Linked DNA regions of Daphnia pulex. The protein of the gene in region 1 interacts with the protein of each later gene in a biochemical or structural test. Links are inferred from orthologs where the notes say so. Each region holds a gene or a part of one and is shown in the gene's direction. Other genes may lie near its edges.

The links.
Region 2: the proteins of histone deacetylase 6-like (region 1) and src substrate cortactin-like form a complex in vitro, tested with the Homo sapiens proteins (3 studies listed by BioGRID and IntAct, with this or other methods). The link is inferred for Daphnia pulex from reciprocal best matches to the Homo sapiens genes HDAC6 and CTTN.

Annotation. Positions count from the first base shown.
Region 1 is NC_060025.1:1,310,963-1,314,885, forward strand, and holds the start of histone deacetylase 6-like, read left to right. Parts: upstream 1-1,406; 5' UTR 1,407-1,489; coding exon 1,490-1,588; intron 1,589-1,675; coding exon 1,676-1,806; intron 1,807-1,880; coding exon 1,881-2,162; intron 2,163-2,227; coding exon 2,228-2,401; intron 2,402-2,473; coding exon 2,474-2,666; intron 2,667-2,779; coding exon of another isoform or gene 2,780-2,839; intron 2,840-2,907; coding exon 2,908-2,967; intron 2,968-3,069; coding exon 3,070-3,159; intron 3,160-3,232; coding exon 3,233-3,339; intron 3,340-3,396; coding exon 3,397-3,641; intron 3,642-3,705; coding exon 3,706-3,787; intron 3,788-3,858; coding exon 3,859-3,923. Other genes in the region: speckle-type POZ protein-like, read right to left, coding at 1-446.
Region 2 is NC_060023.1:10,192,968-10,196,890, forward strand, and holds the start of src substrate cortactin-like, read left to right. Parts: upstream 1-1,039; 5' UTR 1,040-1,160; intron 1,161-1,224; 5' UTR 1,225-1,235; coding exon 1,236-1,381; intron 1,382-1,447; coding exon 1,448-1,567; intron 1,568-1,628; coding exon 1,629-1,739; intron 1,740-1,800; coding exon 1,801-1,921; intron 1,922-2,016; coding exon 2,017-2,127; intron 2,128-2,187; coding exon 2,188-2,298; intron 2,299-2,362; coding exon 2,363-2,546; intron 2,547-2,612; coding exon 2,613-2,683; intron 2,684-2,744; coding exon 2,745-3,290; intron 3,291-3,349; coding exon 3,350-3,430; 3' UTR 3,431-3,923. Other genes in the region: 39S ribosomal protein L23, mitochondrial-like, read right to left, coding at 141-296, 365-435, 504-709, 789-802.

The DNA of each region.
Region 1 (3,923 bases):
TTCGCGTACGATTCAATCTCGCAGTGGAAGACGAGACTTCCGTTCAATTGCTGACACTCAGATTTTAGGATTGCATCTTTGAGAAAATTCAGATGGATGCTACAATAGCCATTCTTTTGAACACCGTATACTTGCTGGAGAACTTTCTGTCGTTTCCCGTTTAGGATTGATAATTTCATGCGAAAAGGGTCGACAGCCGTGACGCTCTTGAAGTTAGCGAATCCGGGAGTTGTAAGAAATAGTTGTACAGTTAATGTTGTACCCGCATCAGACAGTACTAGCTTCCACAGACGATCAGGAGTTTCTCTAGCTGAAAATAACGTTGATTCCAGAGGTTCCATCCACGCCGCAACAGTTTCTAGACATGGCACTTGAACATTCCATTCTAAATCAAGTTTTGAAATTTGTAATTCAGAGAGACAGACATTGTCCGCTGACGACTGCATGGCTCAGTACGTAGAAAAATGGCGACTGTTACAAACACGTGTTATTCTCAACAAAGATGAAATGCGAATGCCAGCTCTCACTTGAGTGTTGAGTCACTTCCCACTTCCCAGACCCCAGCATCAGCAAAATTGCAGACTGAAGGGTGAAGGGTAAGGGGCTGAAAACGAATAGAAAACGAAACTTGAAAGGGTGTGAGAAAGAGTGGGAGGGGATAGAATTTCATAGAGCCGAAGAGAACCCGAGGGAATAAAACTTTATGTTGCTAAGAGAAATTGTAATTTGACCAATTGATTGCAACTAAATACCACCGACGAAAGGGATTAACTTTTCAACCATAAAGATTATGTTGTTAATCATTGAATATGGCGTCATCTTTCATAAACCCGTAAAAAAGCCTGAAAACTGAGAAAGCTGTGACTAACCACACACATATAACTTAAGTTTTCTTGACAAATAAAAACGTCCTCCTCTCTATTATGTTTGGTCTCGTTTATTTAATTTGACGAACTCTAGAGAAGAAATTGTGCGATGATTTGTTCAGTTTGTTCTGTTTCGTCTTCGAAAATGGATGTCGTTCAGATGTCGTTCCACAAACGCATGCCGTTCGTCTGCTAGGAGAGTACTCGGTATGTTGTTTGATTTGACTTAATTATTTAATCATCTGAACTGATTAAAAATTAAGCTTTATATCGGTCGTGAATGAGTGTAACTTGACACAGTCTTACTTAAAGGGGTTGTAATCAATTTTAATAGCATAAATCACATTTCAACGGTAAACCCCGTTTCTTTGGAAATTGGAATTTAATAATTTGATTTAATAAGAAACCGTTATAAATAAATAACGCAGTAGTTTAGAATTACCTCGTATATTCATATTTCGATAGGCAATTCAAACTTCGTTCGTGCATCGGTATAATAAGTGTGAGCTTGTTTTAACCGACGCTCACCAGATGTCTCACTCAAGAGCTTGTTTGTTGACTTGCACTTGAGTTCTGTCAGCGGCTGCAGTCAAGAATTTAGCAGTCCCACAAGACAAGTCGAAATGAGTAAACAAACAAAGTTTTCGAATTTCGTGAAAGGTCGCTCACCATCGAATAAAAAAAATGAAAAATTAAATGTGTTTGTGGATCACTTGCAAAATGTAAGGACGGTTAAGACTGTTAAACGTTGTTTAATTTGGATAATGTTGAAGCTAGATGTTGATGAATGTATCACTCTGTTCTTGTAGACTCGGGATTCTAAAGATAAGATACGTGGCCAAACAGGAATTGTTTATGATGAACGGATGGTTGAACACCAGTGTCTTTGGGATCCCAATTACCCTGAATGTCCAGAGAGATTCACTCGGGTTTTGGAAAGGTCAGTTATCAGTTATATACCTAGTCTGAAATTTAAACTGCTTATGGTGAAATAATGGTTAAAAAATCTTGCAGATGCCGTGAATATGGGTTGGCTCAACGCTGTGTAGAAATTCAACCTAGAAAGGCAACTCAAGATGAGCTGTTGAAACTTCACACACCAGACAGAATTGAATTGCTCAAAGGAACAGATGGCAGTCCAGATGCTGAAGCATTAGAAGCTATCAGCTCAGGTTATGATGCCATTTACATTCATCCATCAACAAATGAGCTAGCATTGTTGGCAGCTGGATCAACAGTTGAGATGGTTGATGCCATACTGGATGGAAAGATACAAAATGGAATGGCTGTAATCAGGTAATATACATACTTTGCAAATTTTACTCCTCTCTTTTGTTTCAATTCAAAACTGATTTATTTAGACCGCCAGGGCACCATGCAATGAAAAGTGAATATTGTGGCTATTGTTTCTTCAACAATGTAGCAGTTGCAGCCCAGCATGCATTAGATAACAAGGGTGTTGAAAGAATTCTGATTGTTGATTGGGATGTTCACCATGGCCAGGCAACTCAACAAATGTTCTACGAAGACCCCAGGTAAAAAGGCATCTAGTTTATCACATGCACTGAATCAATTCTATGTGAGGGTTACCTTTATTGAATATTCAGAGTCTTATATTTCTCGGTTCATCGTTATGAGCACGGAGCTTTTTGGCCCAATCTTCGTGAAAGCGATTTTCACTACATTGGAAGTGGAGTTGGCAAAGGCTTTAACGTGAACGTGCCACTGAATAAAACGAAAATGGGTAACGCCGACTATCTGGCCATTTGGCACCAGCTGCTATTGCCTCTGGCTTATGAAGTAATAACTCATCTTGATACCATGTTTCATTTCATCTATTCAAATCGTTCAATGCATATTAATACTATGGTTAAATACGCTTGTAATTTAAAAACGCGCTTCATCTTGTTCAGTTTCAACCAGAGTTGATTATTGTATCAGCCGGCTATGACGCTGCCTTGGGTTGTTTCGAGGTAGTGTACAAGACTTCCTACTTATTCTTTTTGTTTTTCTTCTTTTCTTGTGATTTGCATGGCAATAGTTCCGCCCTGATCTTGTTCTCGTCTCCTCTGGTTTCGATTCGGCACTAGGCGACGAGAAGGTCCAACATTTGTTCTCTTCTTATTTTATATTCTACCTTTTTCTGAAGGAATTGTGAAGATATGCGGTGACTAATATTGTCAACGCCTTTTGTCAAATTTAGGGCGAAATGGAAATCACTCCCGCGTGCTACTCCCACTTGACGTCATCACTCATGGGGCTGGCCCAAGGCAAACTGGCTGTCGTTCTCGAAGTATAATCCGCTGACTCATCTATTACTCTGACCAAACCCTAGTGCTGGTCATTAATTATGTGTTTATTTTTAGGGAGGGTACTGCTTGAAATCCTTAGCCGAAGGAGCTGCTCTGACCTTGCGAACATTGCTTGGTGATCCTTGCCCAGTCATTGCAAAAGTCGAAGAGCCTTGTCAAAGGTAAAACGATTTCTTTTGACGAATATAATGCGGGCTGCATCATTTCTCTTATTGTAGTATTCAGGAAAGTATTTTGAGCGCTATTTATGTGCTTCGCCCTATGTGGAAATGTCTACAGTTCCAGGGCCGTTTTGATGCTTCAAAAGTGGGTAGTCAAAAGGAAGGAAAGCACTTTGTACCCAGTGTCACTTTTGAAGGATCTGACGTCAAACAAACATTGTTTGCCACTCGAAACTGCTACCCAGTGCAGAGCAATGAGACGATTGACCTCTTGGATCAGCGCCTTGATAAGCTCATTAAAGGTGACATGAATGATTACAAATTTTAAATAACAATTTAATTAACTGTAATTGTTTATTATTTTAGAAACGAGCTTGGCAGTGCCTAAGCATCGCGTTTGTTTCATCTACGATGAAAGAATGGCTTTGCATCGTAATATCAACGAACCGTAAGTTGAATTTTAAATTGTTTCGAGTTCTTTGTTATTTTTATGGAATTGTTTGACGATATCTTTTGCAGTGGACATCCGGAGCGACCTGCTAGAATCACTTCAATCTACCAGAAATTGATGGAATTCGGAGTGT
Region 2 (3,923 bases), on another chromosome or scaffold:
ATATTTTCAATAAGTCCCCCCCCCCCCACCAAATACCGTGCCATAGGCCTACCCGGAGTTTCTTTTTATCTTATACAAATGAAATAAAATAATAAATAAACCATATGTTATTACTGTATTCTAACAAATTTTTTACAAATTCAATGACTAAACCATGTAGGCACTCCTTGTTTAGAAATATTAATGCTTGTTTTCTGGGCATACAATTCTTTTGTCTGTTTCATAGTATTAGTTTGCTCATCATAAATGTCAGTACTGCCATGAATTTCTGGGAAGACAAATTTGTGGTCTTTGTGCTAAAAAACAAACAAAACAAAATGGTTACAGTTGAAGAAACATTAAACAAGATAAGTTTTCAAATTACCAGAGTTACAAAGGCTATTTTTTCATCATTTTCCTTAGTGACATAAGTGTTGGGTAAAGTTTTTGTTTTCCCTTTAAAGAAAATTATTCTAAGTGTTAGTAAAACATCACTTATTTTAACCTCAATAATGTTGTCGTACCCATTTGGTTGTAGGTGCTGACATGAACAACAGGGAGGTTGTAAATTTTTTCAAGATATTGTTTAACATCAAGCTTGGTCATTTGTGATGAGACAACAAACTGAACTTGATTAGGTAGCAAATTGTGGCTCGGTTTGACAAGCTTCATCCAAAAGTCAGGTAGGAACACCCGTAATTTAGGACTACCGCTTTTGAAAGCTGGATATCTACATTTTTAGATTTTTTAATCGTAACTAATTATAAATTTTGAGTGAACCCAATTAAGCTTTGAAATTCTTGACTTACATTCTCGTCGACATTTTCTCAGGATGTTTGAAGCCTCAACACAATCAGTTTGATGATTTCTTGTTTACTGTTTTCGTCTGCATTGACTGCATGGTGCATGCTTGAATCTTTATGCTGCGCCAAATCATATTTCAAACTTTTCATTAATGATATTTACACTTTTATACTCATAGAAACAATTTAAATTTTTTTTTTAATTATTATTAGTAGATTTTATGACGAAATAAAAATAAGTTTTTAAAATTCATTTCCGAATGGCATTGTTGCAAGATAAACTATCCGGATTGTTTAACTTCTTATCAAATAGAAAGGGCGTGTGACTCAACTTTTAGCCGGTTTAAATTAGTATTATATCTATTTATTAAAGAATTTGTACGTCAGAGAGATCATTAATTATCACAAATAATTTTAAATTAAAATTTATTTTTCTCTCTAGATTGTAATAACATGTGGAAATCAGCAGTTGGTTCCAGCATCAAGGCTCCTGTTGTCAACCAAGATGACGATGAATGGGATACCGATCCCAATTATATTAACAACGTAACAGAAGAAGAACAACGATGGGGTGGGGGAAGAACTGCGGGTGCTATTGAGTGAGCATAAATGTTTTCTTCAAGACATTGTGTATTTACGTTAACGGTTTCTGTCAATGTTTACAGTATGAATGCTCTACGAGAGCAAACGACTAAAGAAGATCTGGAGCTCAAGAAAAAGGTAATGGCTGCAGGACCTCAAGCATCTTATGGATATGGTGGAAAATTTGGTGTACAAGGAGATCGGTATGTTTTTCTTAGAAAACTAAAATGTGAATTTCATCAACTTTTGTTTTTGTTTCTTCAGTATGGATAAAAGTGCAGTCGGGCATGAACATATCGAAAAAGTTGAAAAACATGCTTCTCAAAAAGATTACACCACTGGTTTTGGTGGGAAATATGGCATTCAAAAGGACAGGTAAGAACAGGATTCATTTTTTGTACATCTTTCCAATTTCTTACTATTATTGTTTATTAAGGATGGATAAGTCTGCAGTGGGGCATGACTATGTAGCCAAGGTTGAAAAACATGGCAGTCAAACAGATGCTGCCAAAGGGTTTGGCGGCAAGTTTGGAGTTCAAACTGATCGAGTTGATAAGGTATTTCATTAAAATATGCGCATTATTGTTTTATTTCAGTTACTTTACAGTTATGCCCACTATTTTCTCACGTTTTATTTGGATCGGTTAAATAGAGTGCTGTTGGTTGGGATTATCAGGAGAAGTTGGTAAAGCATGAAAGTCAAACAGATGGTTCCAAAGGTTTTGGTGGGAAATTCGGCGTACAAACCGACCGCATCGACAAAGTAACAAATTCTATAACTGTTTGAACAAAGGAATTTTTTCTATTGAAGTGCAATTTTTAGAGTGCAGTTGGCTGGGATTATCAAGAAAAAGTGGAGAAACATGAAAGTCAGGTGGATGGAAATAAAGGTTTTGGTGGTAAATTTGGTGTCCAGGCTGATCGAGTCGATAAAGTATAACCTACCAATGCAATGTTATTGTAATCCAACTAATTTCTTAATTTATCTTTTGTGACAGAGTGCTGTTGGTTATGATTACCAAGAAAAAGTAGAGAAACATGAGAGCCAAGTAGATGGTTCAAAAGGTTTCGGAGGAAAATTTGGTGTTCAAACAGATAGACAAGATGCAGCGGCCGTCGGTTTTGATGAAGAACAAGGTCATGTTGGTACTACTTACGAGAAGGATAAGCCAGTTATTGCGGGTAACAATAAAAATTTCCGTTAAGTTTTTCTTGGTTTGAATTTATTAAACTCATTTGGTTCCATAGAGAAAGGTAAAGCGTCTTTGCTGAAATCCCGTTTTGAAAATTTTGCTGAAGAAAACAAGAAAGCAGCCATGGTAAACGTTTGATAGTTTCTTATTACAAACAAATGTATTACATCATTTTTCATTTCTTTAGGTTGTTCCTCCTCCACCGAAGAATCCCCGCCCAATGGCTAAGATAGCACACAAATTCGAAACACAGTCGACGCCTCAAACAGAGCCACCCATTAAACAAATCCCCCAAACAGAAAAACCTGTCCGACAAAACCAATTCCTCCCAGCCAAGTCGCCTGTTATACCAGAGCCAGTCATCCGAGAAAGTCCTGTGATTTCTCCAGTTCCAGAACCTGCTAGGTCGCCTTCACCTCCACCGACTGTCGTTCCACCTGTTCCGGCACAAACTCAACAACATATCGCGCAATCCCTTGAACGATGGAACGATGATCTGGCCGAAGCTGTCGAAGAAGTGGATGATGGAGCGTGGAGGGAGCAAGTGGATGAGCAGGATGACGCCTGGAAAGACGAAGAAGAGATAGGCTACGTCCAAGAGAATTCGAATTTAGAAACAGTTGCGGAAGAAACTGGATCCGGTCTTATTGCAGTCGCCCTCTACGATTACCAAGCTGCTGCAGAAGACGAGCTCTCCTTTGACCCGGATGAAGTCATTGTCAACATCGAAATGGTAATGTTTATTAATTTATAAAATGTGTTTAGTTTCTAACCAACTCTTTTGCTGTGCAGATCGATGAAGGTTGGTGGCGAGGGGAGTGTAGAGGACAGATAGGATTATTTCCCGCTAATTACGTCCAACTGCAACAGTGAAACCCTATCCAGTTTTTTTCGTCTTCCAGGTTTTATCCAACAATCCAAGGTTCTTTTTTATTCCCAATTGTTAAGCATTCTTTCCAAGAATTTTCCTTATCTCGTAAGCCAACCATATGGCGGTTCTTTTTACGCGTGGCGTTATATTCGTGTATTGTTGTCCAGTCAGTATTCACAACGCGGTGAAGAAAAACATTACTTATTACAGATTAGTTGATTTGATGAAAATGTGTGACGGAAAAACATCGTTCTTGCCTATTATTGTGGAAAGAGAATTGCAAGTTATCCCTTATCTGCATTTAATTAAGAACCAATAATTAGATGTTGTTTGCCGACTCAAATCACAATGCTTTGTTATGATTATTGTGCCGAGATCCAACCGACCAATCTATCTTATGCAGCCTGTTGATTCATTGGAAGAGTTTTCATGTCCATACTCACCGACTGCAAACAAAAGCCTCTGTGATGACGTGGTGGTCCAAATACATATCTG